Cricetulus griseus: one gene and its partners. The protein of the gene in region 3 purifies or fractionates together with the protein of the main gene of each other region. This does not show direct contact. Links are inferred from orthologs where the notes say so. Each region holds a gene or a part of one and is shown on either strand. Other genes may lie near its edges.

Region 1 (4,579 bases), on a different chromosome or scaffold from region 3:
TGTCAGCGTGGTCGAGAGCAACAGGAGAAAGAAGGGAAAGAAGGAAACAGCAAGAAGCCCATGGAAAATGTAGAGAGCCTGGATAAGCTGGAGTGTAGGTTCAAACTGAACTCCTATAAAATGGTATATGTGATCAAGTCGGAGGACTACATGTACCGGAGAACGGCTTTACTCAGAGCTCATCAGGTGAGAACTGGTGGTTGGGATGTCTCTGCATTTCCCAAGTCCTACTGCACTGGCCTGGTATATTTCCCTTTTTAAAAAACCCGTTCCTGGAACAAACAGTTGCTATGTAAGCAGTTGTATTTGCTAAGGATCTCGTAACAGAGTATTATGACTTAAAGGATAAAATTGCTGGGGATATGTAGTTCGTGGTAGAACACTTTCCAGTACACCCAAGGTGGTCTTGGCACTGTCCCCAAATACCTGCTTCCCACACATACAACATCTTGAGGTTCTGAGAAAGACTTAAAACCCCAAGACTTATATGTCAAAATGTGTTGGAATCTATTGAGGCCCCTAAGGGGGAGAATAGCTGTTGCTGCTGTGCTCTTTTAGTATTCCTGGGTGACTCATGGCTTTTCTCTTGTCTGTCTGAATAAATGTCATTTTGAAGGATGGATGTATGGGGTGAAGGCTTCAGAGTATGGGCTATAGTTTAACCTCCAAGAGCTGGTAAACACCTGGTGTTACTTTCTGAAAAAGCTGCTCTGAGTGTTTACCTTTCAGACAGTTTCTCATCTTTTGTTTGTGAGAACTCTGTTTTCAAGGGCTGTCTCACTTGTACTTGCAGCAGGCGCTAGGATACTGCCCCAAACTTGGGCAAATGAGGAAATAAAAGGGTCAAGGAAACCGACATGTGGGATTTCCTTGGTGGCTTCTCTAATACAGGACACCAGAGACCTAAATAACAAGAGTTACATGAGAAGTGTTTTCTATGCAGCAGAAATGTTAGATGACAGACTGGGGAGAAGGAAAGGTATTGGCATATATTGAAAATAAAAACAGTGATTCGGGGCAAGAGCTATAGAGAAAGACATTGTGCAGGTGTGAGGATAGGTGAGGTCACACTAGTCTCAATGGGCCAAGCTTTGAATTTTGTTAGATTTACTGGGGCCCCTTTGTTTACATTTATTTGTTTTGTGTTAATGTTATGTCCTCGTGCTTTTTTGGTTTTTCGAGACAGGGTTTCTCTGTGTAGCTTTGGAGCGTATCCTGGCACTCGCTCTGGAGACCAGGCTGGCCTCGAACTCAGAAAGATCCGCCTGCCTCTGCTTCCCGAGTGCTAAGATTAAAGGCGTGTGCCACCAACGCCCGGCTTGTCCTCCTGCTTTTGTTGAGTCTTCATGGCACAGTGAGAGTGTTGTGGTCAGAGGATAAGCTGTAGGAGTCAGTTCTCTCCATACTGGTTCAGGTGGAATACAGGTCATTATCCTTAGTGTCAGGTACCTTTACCTACTGAGCTATTTTGCCAACCTGCCTTATTTTAATTTTTCTTTTAAAGATAGCACTCTACAGGGCTGAAGAGGTGGCTCAGTGGTTAAGAACACTAGCTGTGTTCTTTCATAGGACCCAGGTTCAATTCTCAGCATCCACATGGCAGCTCACAACTGTCTGTAACTCCAGTTCCAGGGGATCCAGTGCTCTCTTCTGGCTCCACAAATACCAGGCACATGTAGGCAGAATACCCACTGTACTCATAAAGTAAGCCAGGCATGGTGGCATATTTATTTAGTCTCAGCACTCAGGAGGCATAGGCAGGTAGACCTCTTGAGTTTGAGGCCAGCCAGACCTGCATAGTGAGACTCTTTTTAAAATGAATGAATGAATATTGACTTTTGTGTTTGAAGGGTTTGTTTGCCTATTTTATCTTTTCTCTCTCTTTTACTTTGATTTTAGTCCCATGAGCGTGTAAGCAAGCGTCTGCATCAGCGATTCCAGGCCTGGGTAGATAAATGGACCAAGGAGCATGTGCCTCGTGAAATGGCAGCAGAGACCAGCAAGTGGCTCATGGGTGAGGGGCTAGAGGGCCTGGTGCCCTGCACCACCACCTGTGACACAGAGACTCTGCACTTTGTAAGCATTAACAAGTATCGTGTCAAATACGGCACAGTATTCAAAGCCCCTTAACTGCAGAGCCAGCACAGGTAGCTCAGAGGTGTGTGTCTGTGTGTGTGTGTGTGTGTGTGTGTGTGTGTGTGTGTGTGTGTGTGTGTATGTGTGTGTGTAGGCATGTGTACTACACACCGAAGAACAGAGGAAGATGCCTTTCAAGCCACCAGTGCAACCTGGCACCAAGCAGGACCGTGGACAGACACCTTAGAAAGCTGGAACTGGCACTTTTCCCAAGGGTACTAGCCTGCCCAACAGGGAATGAAGTCCATGCAAGCACAGAGAACCGGCAGCTTGCTTGCACACACCAGCAGAGCTCAAGCTAGAACTTCTGTGACCTGACCTTAGACATGCAACCAGATGCTATCACCCTTTGGATGGATGGAGGTGCATTTATAAAACAGATGGACTGTAACTAATGGTCACTACTCCTCTCTCTACCCTGAAGAGGCTGCAGGGAGACTGCATTTGATGACCACATCTCCACTTGAGCACATCTACGATCCCCTGTTAGAGTTTGTCTGAGACCTGCTGTTTGGCTTTGGGATTGATACCTTGTGGATTTGGTTTCTGAGCCGTTGCAGCCCACCTTCCTCCGTCTTCTGGTTCTCAGCCTCACCAAATTCCAGCCAGTCCTCTTTTGGCCCCCGTGGACTGTTTTGTACCTGCTTCTTACTGGTCTGCCCTAGTGCCATCCACCAGCTTCACTCACACACAGACACACACATTTTAACTTGGATTTTCTTTTTTGTAAATAATGTATATACTGTCAATTTTTTATTAAAGGAAATATGCTTTGATGTGCTAGCATAAGTGCTCTAGCTTCTTGTGTACCATAGGACTATGTGGCTTCAGATTTAGTACTTATAAAGAGATGTACAAGACATTTATTACACTTTTTACCAAAGGGAGATACCATTGTAGTACTTTTATGTAAAACTTGTCTCCTCCCCCCCCCTTTTCTTTTCCTTTCCTTTTTTTATGTAAATAAAGCTTGGTTCTTAAGGAAATCCGTAACCCAAGTCCCTTGTCCTCCACCAGAGAGCTATTGTTAAATAGGGACTGGCTTTAGTTTCTTTTCCAGGTTACAAATAGGATTTGGCTGTAAATAAATAGGTATTTGCACTTGTCAAATCAACATATATCAGAAGATGGTAAAAGTGCTTGCCACACAAGCCTGACAACCTGAATGATCTCTGGACCCCACAGTGGAAAGGGAAAGGTGACTCCCAAAGTGGTCCTTTGGCCTCCACAAGTGACCTCTGATACTTGAGTACCTTCATTCTAGTGCACTCAGGCACAGGCACTCCTAGGGGTTTTGTTTTTCCCTCACATTTCTAATTTTCCTTACTGGGAATGAGGCAACAACTCAAGATACCAAGCCAGAATAAATGTTGTGTCTAGTTGGAAGGGAATGGATTGGATATACTGCTTAGCAATAGTAAAAGAAAATGCAGTAATACAGGCCTTTAATCTCAGCACTCAGAGGCAAACAGAGTTCTGTGAGTCCAGGGCTACAGAGAGACCCTGTCTCAAAAAATGAAATAAAAAAAAAAATACACTTATTTTTGTGTATATACTTGCACGTGTGTGCATATGCAGAACAACTTGGAGTCAGTTCTAGGAATGGATCTCAGGTTGTTGGGCTTGGCTGCAAATATTTATTTATCTGTGCTGCTTGTCGCCTACACCAGTCTGTGTAGTCTCCACTTTTTAAGTTACATAAATTGACACATGAGTCTTAGGGATCTTCTAATATGGTTGACCTGGACCTGCTGAACAACAACGAACTAACCCTCATAGTTATATTTTCTGGTTAAAAATCCCTGGTACCTGGGCCAATGAGATAGCTCAGCTGGTTAAGGTTCTTGCCATTAAGCCTAAAGACCTAAGATGGAGTCCTGGACCCCAGGACCCCACACGGTAGAAGGTGGGAACTGTGAGTCGTTTCCCCCCCCCCCCCATGAAATGTAACATTGTTTTTTAAATTCTCAACACGACCATAAGGGAAAAAAAATTGACTCCTGGGGTTTCAAGATACAAAGTGAGCTTTTATTTATCTGACACAGGGTCACACATAGCCCAGGCTACTTCAAAACTTCAAAGTTCTGGGAACACAGGTGTTTTTGTCACAGGGGGCAAGACACTCTTGAAGGCAATAAAAAGCCTAATGGAAAAGCATTGTAGAACCGTGGCTGAGGCAGTATGTCAGAAGACTGAAAGTATGATTTCCTCAACCATATTTCACCTCTCTGCTCCCTCAAGACCATGCTGGCCTACATGAAAATAGATCTGAGTAGAGGCAGCCTTGGTTGTTGCTACCAAATTGTTGTAGCAACAGCACCTTCCTGCAGGTCAGGGTAGGATTTCAGATAGTTCAAGAGAAAAAGTCCTTTTGACCAATAAAACAGGTAACTTTGGTCAAGGTTTCATAAAGCAGAAGGGTATGTTTAAATGACTTTTGATA
Region 2 (5,085 bases), about 200 Mb from region 3:
TTGCTATTTCTACTAATCTGTAATATTTAGATAATACCTACTATGTGCTAAGTACTGTTTTAAATCCTTTGCTGCCATTTTCTCAATAGCAACAACCCCTTATCAAACAGGGTTTACTATAGGCTCTTTTGTACAGATAAGGGTATCAAGATACAGATGGTTAAACATCTTGTCTGCCCAAGAACCTAGAAGCAGTGTGCTTTGCTTGCCAGGTAGGATACAAACTCCCTGCAGTTGAACATTTTTATGATTCCTGTATCATGTTTTGTATGAGGCTTTGCACAAGAGTTGGCCCAAAATCTTTGTTGAACAAATCTGAAGATGGCTCAGATGTGGAGGACGAGAAGGAAGCTTTTAGAGGGCGGTAATTGGAGTTTGAGTGGGGAAGGAGGTGGACAATAGCAAGAGGGGTGTAACCCCACTCTCTTTCCTGCAGCCCAGTGTTTCCCGGGCTCTTTGAGTTCTGCTCCCGTTACACAGGCGCATCTCTTCAAGGAGCAACACAGCTGAACAACAAGGTAATGTAGCTCCTAGTCAGTAGTCCTGGTCCTGTTTCCTGTGGTTCTCTAGATTCAGGACCATATATAACCTTGACATGGAATCTGGCTTCAGTGGTAGGCAGGAAGAAGATTGAATGGGTATTTGTCTTTCAGATCTGTGATATTGCCATCAACTGGGCTGGTGGTCTACACCATGCCAAGAAGTTTGAGGTAAGTCTGCAGTGGGGAAGACTGGCTACCATAGGTTAGGTGGTCAGAATGACTGTTGGGGTAGCTGGGTGGAAGAATTGTTCCTCTGCTTATAAAACTATCTCCCACAGGCCTCTGGTTTCTGCTATGTTAATGACATTGTAATTGGTATCCTGGAGCTGCTCAAGTAAGTACTCCAGGAGGAAAAGGGGAGACTTTGGAGACTGGGATGAAGTCCCTCAGGCCCTGGCCCCAGCCCTGCCCTCCTTCTCCACCGGCTTCTCCAAGTCTGTGATGCTTTTCTCAGATGGCTTCTAGGCCCCACAGGCTAGGCCCCACAGTTTGTCCCCTGCTGCCCGCTCACATTCCAGCTTCCTCTGCATAACCCTTTTCTTTATCTCTGGCCTTTAGGGTGAAGGCCTGGGTTGCCTGGAGGAAACTTGGTGGGATGAGTCTTCAAATGACTCTGCCAGAAGTAGACTCTAAACAATTCCAGAGCTTGTGTTGGGGAGAAGATGGGGAATTCACTCCTTCCCATACCATGGCTTTGTTCTCACACCAGGTACCACCCTCGGGTGCTCTACATTGATATCGACATCCACCATGGTGATGGGGTCCAGGAAGCCTTCTACCTCACTGACCGGGTCATGACTGTGTCATTCCACAAATATGGAAATTACTTCTTTCCTGGAACTGGTAGGGCATAGGATCACTGTGCTTTTTGTACCCCCCTTAGCTTTTTGTGTGTGCTTTGAGACAGGGTCTTGCTCTATAGCCCAGGCTAGCCTTCAACTCAGAATCCTCTATAATCAGCATCCTGAATGATGGGATTACAGGTATGTGCCACTGTACTTGGCTGTCCTTTTTCTTTTTGCCATGACTGACTCCTTAGCCTTCTGTTCTTAAGTATTATGTGCTCTCCTCAGAGAAGCCTTTCTGATCACTCCATTAAGTTAAATAAACAGGTACCAAGCCCTGTCTCTTTTTCTCAAGAGTACTTACTCACTGCTAGTTACATTTATTGTGTTTTTTTGTTCATTCTTTGTCTTAGTCACTATTCTATGTGTGACAAGAAACCACAGCCAAGGCAACTCTTATGAAAGAAAGTATTTAAATGGGGGCTGGCTTACAGTTTCAGAGGTTTAGTCCATTGTCATCATAATGGCTAGCATGGCAGCCTGCAGGCAGGCTGTGCCGCAGTAGTGAAGAGCTACATCCTGACCATAGGCAGAGACACTCTGGACTTGGCTTGGACTTTTGGAATCTCAGAGCCCACCCACCTCCTCCCCTGTGATGTCTCAAACAAGGCTACTTCCTAATCCTTCTCCAGCAGTGCCACTCACTGATGACTAAGCATTCAAATTGCCTACGAGGGTCATTCTTATTCAAACCACTACATTCTCCTTCTTTATCATGTATCCCAAAAGTATGGGCTTGGTGGAATTTCATTAGGTCTATTCATTGCTATATCCCCTATGCCTTCTACACATCTTAGCACACAGTACTTCCTCAGAAATATTTGTTGAAATGAATGTGATGGCATATGCCTGTTTTCCCAGTAGGCAGGCTCAGGTGGGACGGTTGTTTTAAGTTTGAGGCCAGTCTTGGATATATAGCTAGATTCTGTCTCAAAGGGGAAAAAAAAAGGAAAGAAAGAAGGGAGGAAGGAAGGAAGGTGGGGGGTGGGATGACTGGAGAGATGACTCAGCTGTTATGAGCATTTCCTACCCTTGCAGAGGAATCAGGTTCTGTTCCCAGCACCCACATGGCAGCTCACTGTCTGTAACTCCCAATTCCAGGAGATCTGATGCCCTCTTCTGACCTCCATGGACACCAGGCATGAACCAGGCAGGAAGACACATACCTGTAATCCCAGCATTCAGCAGGCTGAGGCAGGGGGGAATGAGAGTTCAAAGCTAGCCTGAGCAACATAGGTTCCTAGCCAGCCTGGGTTATATAGGTGTTACCCTGTATTGAATGAATGCAAGTTGCTGGAGCCTTAGAGAGCATGTGGTAGAGGGCACAGAAGGAACAGTTGTGTTACTGTTTATGACTGCTGGACCCACTTATCTATAGGTGACATGTATGAAGTTGGAGCAGAGAGTGGCCGCTACTATTGTCTCAATGTGCCCTTACGGGATGGCATCGATGACCAGAGTAAGTACTGATGACTTCCCCATGCTCACTTTCCCCCTTTTTCACTTTCATTAACCTCTTCTACCTGGTATTGTCTATTGTTGGGCCAGGTGTCCTTAAGGATGAATGTCCTTCAGAGGGACCATGAACCCCTGGAATTTGTATGCAATATATTATGCGCATCTGTGTTTTTATTTATTTATTAGTTTTTCTGGGAAGAAGTTTGTTAGTGTTCATCATAGCAGGTTGTGATACCTTCCAGAAGTTCAGAACCAATGGTTGGTTCTGTAGTTTTCCCCTTTCCTGGGCTACATGCTCTCTCAAACCCCTTTTTCCTTTTGTTCCCTGTCTCCCCATCTCCTTGGGGTGCCAGGTTGCCCATCTTTGGCCCTCTCCCAGGTTACAAGCACCTCTTCCAGCCAGTCATCAGCCAGGTGGTGGACTTCTACCAACCTACATGCATCGTGCTTCAGGTAACAGTGTTAGCACCTCCCTGGAGGGCTTACCTGGGCTTGAGGAAAGAGATCAGGGAAGAATAAGTTCCCCAAATTGGTGAGGGAGGGACAGTGGTTTTCTGATCTTCCATGTTACCGCAGCATCTGGGTTTTTCTTTTTTTCAGTGTGGAGCTGATTCCCTAGGCTGTGATCGATTAGGCTGTTTTAATCTCAGCATACGAGGACATGGGTGAGAACTGCCTTCCTTCTTGTTCTGTCAGACCCCCGAAAACTCAAGTATCCGGGGTCCCAGGCCAGGTTCGCGGTCACCCCAATCACCAGGCGGATTCGAGAGCTTGCTGCAAACTGCACGAGGCTTTATTGTAATTTAACGAACTAACCCCATGTTAGCTCGGGTCTTTCACCCACCCGCCATGGCGGACGGCTAGAAAAGACGGCTCCTTGGGTCTCCCAAAAGATCTTATAGGGCAGCGTAAGGGGAGTGTCTAGGGGTACGCACAGGCTTACGCACAGGCTCACGATTGGTGTGCTTCCAGGCTTGGAGGGCTTGCCCTGTGTTGGTCAATTATGGCCCATAGGCCCTCCCAGGGTAGTTGCTATGCTCTCTACGTCATTGTCGTGCGCTTGTCCGTAAAGCACACCCAGGGTCGTAAAGCATAGCGCCACCAGCTAACTTCTGATTGGTTCCTTGTCACAAGACAGGCATCTGACCTCTAATTGACTAAGATTCCTTGTCACGAGACAGGCATCTGACCTCTAAGTGACCAAGGCAGGTTTATGGCAAGCACGTGTTCGGCTGTTATGGCTGCCAAAAGGGAAGCCGGTTCCTTCAGTTCTTGTTGTTTTTACTTAAAGTTGTATTTCATCATCATCACTATTAATTATTATGCGTGTATGTGTACATCCTTGACCATACATAAATACACATACAAACAAAACATAACAAAAGTCCAATGAAGGAAAAATAACAAGACAAGGTAATAACAGGGAATCTACTTTTTGATTATACTTTTTTTTTTTTTTTTAAGATCTCGATGTGTGGCATGGGCTGACTTTGAACTTGTGATCTTTCTGTCTTAGCCTCCTAAATTACAAGCTCAGGTCACCACACCTGGCTTGGGAATTTACTATAGGCAGCATGCTTTGGGAAGGGTTTTCTGAAAGGGTCAAATGAGAGCTGAGACCTGGAGACTAAGAGGATGAGCCATAAAAGAAAAACAGAGAATCCTGCTCCAAGCAGTGAGAAGGGCTAGTGGAAAGCCCTAAGATGAAAAGGAGCTGCTGTCTTGATGAGGAAATAAAAGCAGTGAGGTCAGAACACAGGGAAGTGCTGAAAGCTGGCCAGATTGAGTTTGTGCAGAACTATTAGACCCTATCATTCCATGGGTGGTGGAAAACTGTGGAAGGAGTTTAAACAGGGAAGTGACATGGACCGGTGAGTTTGAAGGTGATTGATTGTTCTGACTGCTAAATGGAAAAAAGTTTTGGGGTGAGAATTGGGGCACAGGACGGTAGTGAGAAGCCAGTTAGGAAGCCATTAACATTGTTTAGACAGGGGATGTGGTGACGGAGAGAAGTAGGGGGTTTGAAAATGTATGCTGAAGACTAGAATGGACAGTCTGGCTGAGACACTGATGAGAGTAGTTGAATAGCAGGTAAGGTGCCAGGCAGAGTAGTAAGCAAGACTGAGCATGTGCTTTACTTTAAAATATTTATTGAGACGCAAAATATTAAAGCATACTAATGTTTTTAAAGAACTTTTTTTACTTGTTTATTCATTCGTGTGTGTGTGTGTGTGTGTGTG
Region 3 (5,673 bases):
GGTTCCACAGCACAACTGACTCCCTACAGATCTGCAACGAAAGCGGAGGGGGGGGGTGTCCCTCGGAATGACAGGTTCACTGCGCAGCATCCATACAGCCTGCGTTTTCTTCAGAGCTTTATGCTGGGAAGCTGGGCCTGGCAGTTCCAGGAGAGAATTGACTTTTCCCATTCCCCATGACATTAGGAGGGCACTGCAGACCTTCGTACTGTCACAGCATGCTGACACACCAAGGTCTGGGGTACAGTGGCCTGCACCAAGGTTTTCAGGCTCAAAGCTGAAACTCCCACACACTCATCTGACCACAGAAACCACAATTCCACCTCAACCAGGCCAATTCCACCTGATTCAAGCGGACCCTACCTCAACCAGACAGAAGCTACCTCACCTCAGTCAGACTGCCACAGAGCACAGCAGCCAAATGTCACCCGTGCATCGAGAACTCAGGAAAACCACTGACCTCTACACCTTCCCACCATGGGCTTGAAAACCCACCCCTTCCCACAAAGCACTCAGCTCACCCTTAGTTCAACAGAGTGCAAAGGCCTGTCAAAGGCTACACTGCCCTACAAAATGGTTCAGCACATCTTTGTTCCTTGTGCCCTCCTCCTCAGTTGACCAAAACTATTAAAATAAGCTTTGAAGGGAGTGAGGGAATCCTAGCATTCAGGCCGCTCCCCTCAGGACAAGCTAAGTTTGGGCAGCCATGGGTCCATAACTACCCAGACTGACAGCCCCTTCCTGCTGGGTGTTACCCACAGTTCATGCAGATAAGCTCACAACGTCCAATAGGGACTAAAGAGCACAGTCCAGACCAAACCCTAATTACAAGCTCACAGTCAATGAAGCAGCAACACTGATGGCTGCACTGGGATCACCCAGGGGCTGGGAGCACCCCACAAACGGGAAACAGCCCCACTAGTCCCTCGTCATGTAAGCACTCAGGAGCTGGCCAAAGTATAGGAACCCAAGCTGATGCCACCACTGCTTCAGTGGTGCTGGAGACACAAATCACTCGAGAAATGTCTCTTCACTCAGCAGATGAGGCGTCAGACCATTGCCAGGGTGGCTATCAAGGGAAGGGCAGCTACAAACCACGGCGGAAACGACCCAGGCACATGACCATGGCTCAGTGCACTATCCTGTCTTCTAACCCCATAGTGCTGGCACGAGCATCTGAGCCACCTCCTCTGAGCCCAAAGACCCCACACCAGAATCACCAAGCTTGTAAACAGAGAAGGCAGAAGTCTACTCCATTCAATAGTGGCCGGGACAAAGGGACCATGGCAGTCCCCTAAACCTGGATAGAAAGACCACAAACACACATGACCCAAAGCAGACAAACACAAACACAGACACACCCAACTCAGACAAGACTCCTTGCCTGCTCCCAAGATAAGAGGTGTGAATGCTTCCCAGTGGCTCATCCTCACTAGTCCCACATCTCTACAGTAGCCCCAGCAAGTCCACCAGTCGCTATATTCAAATGACTACCTCAGGCTACATTAGCTGACAAGGGTGCAGACAGCCCAGATAGGCCTCCACTGGTAGGACCCACATCAGCCTGCCTACTGCCAAGTCCACTTGAAAAGACCCGCCTGCAACCGCCTGCCATCATGCACTGCCCTAGCTGGGGCAAAAGTGCCATAGGACACACAGTATGTGCACACTCTCTGCAGCCCCCAAAGAATTAGGCAACGGTCCTTCTTCAGAGCCCCTTCCCCCCACGATTCTGACACTCTGCTGGAGGGGCGCCCAGAGAAAACCGGGCTGCAGCATCTATTCACAGATTTAGAAAAAAAAAAAAAAGTTTGATGCAATAGCTGAATTAATTAGGTCTCCCAAGAATAGCTGAGCCAATGCAGCATTCTGTGTGTGCAATTTAATAAGCAGGGATATTTAAAAGTTACAGATACTTAGGATGCATATGCAAAGAAACTTCCTCTGGACCCCAGTGAAAGGTTTTGGTACTAAGTGGCCAGGGTCATGCCAAGAAGATCCCACAAAGCCCGTGACGCACACACGGCACAGCCTAGGCAGGCAGGCCTCCACACCAAGTGCAAGAGCAACAGAAGGAAATGGGTGAGTCTAAAGAAACTGCATACTATCAGCAACTCTGAGTCAGAGAAGCAAGACTCTGCTACCATTGACCAGGCCAAGTGGTCCTCAAGGTGCACCAACAGGAGACTCTAGGGGCTGCAAGTGCCAAGTCTCTGCCAGGACAACTAGCTAGCTTCATTTTAGTGTCTTTGCCCCATGATTTAAACACAAAACAAGAGAGCCAGTAAACATACAAGGCGTATCAGCTGGAAACCACAAGAAGACATCCCTGTCATCAGAAAAAAAGGGGGCAAACTTCATTCTCATCTGTCAAGATCCCATGGAGATCTGGGCCATAAAGTCATAGCCTGGGTTCTTTCTCTTCAGGAAGTCCAAGCTCCCAGAGCTTGAGGCAGCCTTTCTCAGACCTTCAGAGCGTAGCCTATGTGGTCAAGGGCTATGTGTCCTGAGAGGGCTTTTTTCCATTCACTCTACAGTGCTCAGACAGCACCAAGGCGGCCTTATGGCCTTACCCACAGGAGACTAACTAGGCCCCTAATTTCCTGAAATCAAAACAACCCAAAGCCAAATAAGGTCGAACCAGGTGCCCCAACATTTAGAAGCCAGAGTGCCCAGCCCAAGAGGACCACCGCCTCCCCTCCTTGGACAAATGGCTTGCCAACCCCCAAGACCTGGAGACACTTACCCGGGGCACCCTCCGCTTGTACTTGTTGGCATAGTCGAACTTCTCCTTCACGTCGTCCAGGCAGCGGCCAAGGCGGGCCTGCTCCTCCTTGCCTGTGTAGTCCTGGCTCAGCAGGATGTAGGCCCGCCAGTTGGCTGAGTCGAAGCCCCAGTGGCAGGTCCGGTTCTCCAGGGCCTTGTGCGAGTGTACCACGAACTTGTGCGGCGGGTACATGAGGCGGCAGTCGAGGCACTGGATGCAGGCGGCGCTAGGACTGCTGTACAGCTCGGGCACCAGCAGCCCCTTGCACTTGCCGAAGCACTCGTGGTACACGCGGACGCTGCGCTCGCTGAGCTCCAGGCCCAGCGCCAGGCTGGCCGCCAGCTCCTTCTTGCAAGGCGGCGGGTAGGCGCCGCCGTAGAGCAGCGCGTTACACAGGCGCTCGGCGTCCGTCTTGGTGATGAGCCCGCACGAGGGCGCGGAGAAGGGCAGGATGCCCATGACTTTGAGGATCTCCAGCTGGTCGGCGGTGCAGCGCGAGCAGTAGATGTGCAGCTCATCGCACACCGAGTTGATCTGCTGCAGTGAGAAGTCGCGCAGCACCGAGTTGAGGATCTGCGGCAAGCACAGACGCTTCTCGCCTCCCACTACGAAACAAGAGATGGTCTCCCCTTCCAGCACGGTCTCACAGCGCTCGGTGGAGCGATCCGACGGCATGAAGAAGGGCCCGGGCAGTACGGGCGGCGGCGGCTGGATGGCAGGCAGGTGCAGCACGGGCGGCGGCTCCGCGGCAGTGGGCACCGGCGCCGGCACCGTGGCCGCGCCCGCCTCCTTGGCGCTCTCCTTCTTGTAGGCCTCCTGCGCCCAGCGCGCCGAGAAAGCGGCCGGGCCGCCCAGCGAGCTCATGGAGCTCAGGTGGAACTGCTCCAACGTCTTCTGCAACCCCGGGTGCGGCTGGAAGCCGCCCCGGCCGGCCGCCGCCGCTTCCATGGTGCGATCGGGCTCCCCGGGCCGCTCCCGTGCGCCCGGGCCCCCACGGCCTCGCCGCCGCCCCGCGCACCCCGCCGCCGACCGCGACCGCGGCCCCGACGCCCCCCGTCGCCGGCTCACGGCCGATCACGGCCCCGGCCTCGGCCTCGCCCGGGGCGCGCGAAGGCGAAGGCGGGCGGGCGAAGGGGTCCCGCCGCTGGAGCCCGCCGCCACCCGGGCCCGGCGCCACATCACGCGCCCCGCGCCGCGCCGCCGCCGCCGCCGCCCCGGCCCCCCGCGCGCCCCCCGCGGCTCTAGGCGCGGCATGCCCCGGCGCGCGCCGCCAACGCCAACGCCAACGCTCGCGGCCCGGGCGCTCGCGGGGCGCGCGCGGCAGGTGCCGGCCGCGAGGCGCGAATCGCCGCGGCGGCCGAGCCGAGGGGCCGGGGAGAGCGGGGGCGCGGGCGCGGGGCCCGCCGGGCCGTCCTCGCGCGGCGCGGCCGCGCTGCCCCGCTCCTCCCACCGCGCGGCGCCCTCGGGCTCGTCCCGCGGTGCTGGCCGGCCGCGTCGCGCCCGCCGCTGGCCCCCGCCGCCTGCCCGCCCGCGCGGCCGCCCGGCTCCCGGCCGCCCGCGCCCGCGCGCGCCGGCCCCGGGGCGGCGGAGGCGCTCTAGCCCGCGGCTCAGAGCGCGGCGGCGGCGCGGGGCTCGGCGCGCTCGGCGCACATCTTTCGGGCGGCTCGCTCCGGCTCGGACTGAGCGCCGGGAGCTGAGCTCACGCCGCCGCGCGCCCCGCCCCGTACCCCCGCCCCGCCCGCGCCGGCCCCGCCTCCCGCGTTGTTTGTTGCTGTGCGTCCGCCTCAGCCGGAGTGAGGGCCAGGAATGTGACCAGCTTCGGGCCGGCTCTTCCAAGAACGCGCGCTCCCCCTCCCGGGCTCGGTGGCGCTCGGCTACGCCCGGCCCGTACTCGGCCAAGCTCGGCTCCGTCCGCCCACAGTTCGACTCCGCTCGGGTCCCCCGGGCCGGAGCTCGGCCCCGCTCGGCCCCGCTCGGCCCCGCTCGGCCCCACTCGGCCCTACTCGGTCCCGCTCGGCCCCGCCTTGTGAAGGCCGCTGGAGGCGGCTGCAGCGAGGCGCCTGGGGCCCCCCTTCCGGCCGAGGCCGCTTCCTGCGCGGCTGGGAAGTCTCCGGTCCTGCTGACACCACGGTCTTGGGGCCCCGAAACCCACAAGGCCCCTGCCACAACCGCAGACCAGCTGAGTGGCGGTCCGCAGTAGATCTGCGCCGCTGCCTCCTTAGGTCCCGGGGTCCCCATTCTACGGAGATAACTGGGAAATAGCCTCCACTCCCCATACTGCTGGGCGTCGTTCTCTACAGGACCGGGACGCCACGCGACACCCCAGAGTTTGCACTCATAAAAAGGACCCCAGGTGCCCCCTCATGACAAGGATGCCACAAAACATTGGGGTCTGGATACAAGAGCGTCTCAAAGCACCCTAGCGTCTCCACACGACCGAAGTGCCTGGCCCCCTATGATAAGGACACCACAGCATGCATTCCAGGTCCCTGCATAAGGACACCACGAAATACTCAGGACAGGCTGTCCTTATGATGAGAAGATACGAGAGAGAGAAAAAAAAAAAAAATCCAGGTGCCCATACAACCGGAACCTCTCAAAGAATCACCCGGTGATTCTTCTCAAAGGCCTCCGGTGCAGAAGGACTGCCCAAAGCACATCTGGGTTTCCATGTGTAGTACTGATGCCACCTAATACACAGAGCTCCCACACCCAAGCGCCACACAGCCAGAATTGCAGAACCTAGAAGCTCACAGCATCCATGACCTAGGGATGCCAAGATGCAGAGGAGGCATAGTTGTGGAAAGTCCCTGGGTCACCGGCAGGCAAAATCCACCACCCCATGAACTGTGACAACCACCAGTAGTAGCTCCTGTCTAGTGGACCCTGTTCTGTGAGACGGGGAC

Evidence for each region.
Region 1: the proteins of Ski (region 3) and Sin3a purify together in Homo sapiens (affinity purification with western blotting; 3 studies listed by BioGRID and IntAct, with this or other methods). This does not show direct contact. The link is inferred for Cricetulus griseus from reciprocal best matches to the Homo sapiens genes SKI and SIN3A.
Region 2: the proteins of Ski (region 3) and Hdac3 purify together in Homo sapiens (affinity purification with western blotting; 4 studies listed by BioGRID and IntAct, with this or other methods). This does not show direct contact. The link is inferred for Cricetulus griseus from reciprocal best matches to the Homo sapiens genes SKI and HDAC3.

The regions. Positions count from the first base shown.
Region 1 is NC_048597.1:168,655,168-168,659,746, forward strand, and holds the end of Sin3a (paired amphipathic helix protein Sin3a), read left to right. Parts: coding exon 1-186; intron 187-1,899; coding exon 1,900-2,130; 3' UTR 2,131-2,922; downstream 2,923-4,579. UniProt on the Homo sapiens protein: Acts as a transcriptional repressor. Corepressor for REST. Interacts with MXI1 to repress MYC responsive genes and antagonize MYC oncogenic activities. Also interacts with MXD1-MAX heterodimers to repress transcription by tethering SIN3A to DNA.
Region 2 is NC_048595.1:199,695,443-199,700,527, forward strand, and holds part of Hdac3 (histone deacetylase 3), read left to right. Parts: intron 1-436; coding exon 437-518; intron 519-653; coding exon 654-710; intron 711-820; coding exon 821-876; intron 877-1,251; coding exon 1,252-1,385; intron 1,386-2,765; coding exon 2,766-2,846; intron 2,847-3,224; coding exon 3,225-3,298; intron 3,299-3,445; coding exon 3,446-3,510; intron 3,511-5,085. UniProt on the Homo sapiens protein: Histone deacetylase that catalyzes the deacetylation of lysine residues on the N-terminal part of the core histones (H2A, H2B, H3 and H4), and some other non-histone substrates.
Region 3 is NC_048595.1:1,091,822-1,097,494, reverse strand, and holds the start of Ski (ski oncogene), read right to left. Parts: upstream 3,914-5,673; 5' UTR 3,716-3,913; coding exon 2,747-3,715; intron 1-2,746. UniProt on the Homo sapiens protein: May play a role in terminal differentiation of skeletal muscle cells but not in the determination of cells to the myogenic lineage. Functions as a repressor of TGF-beta signaling.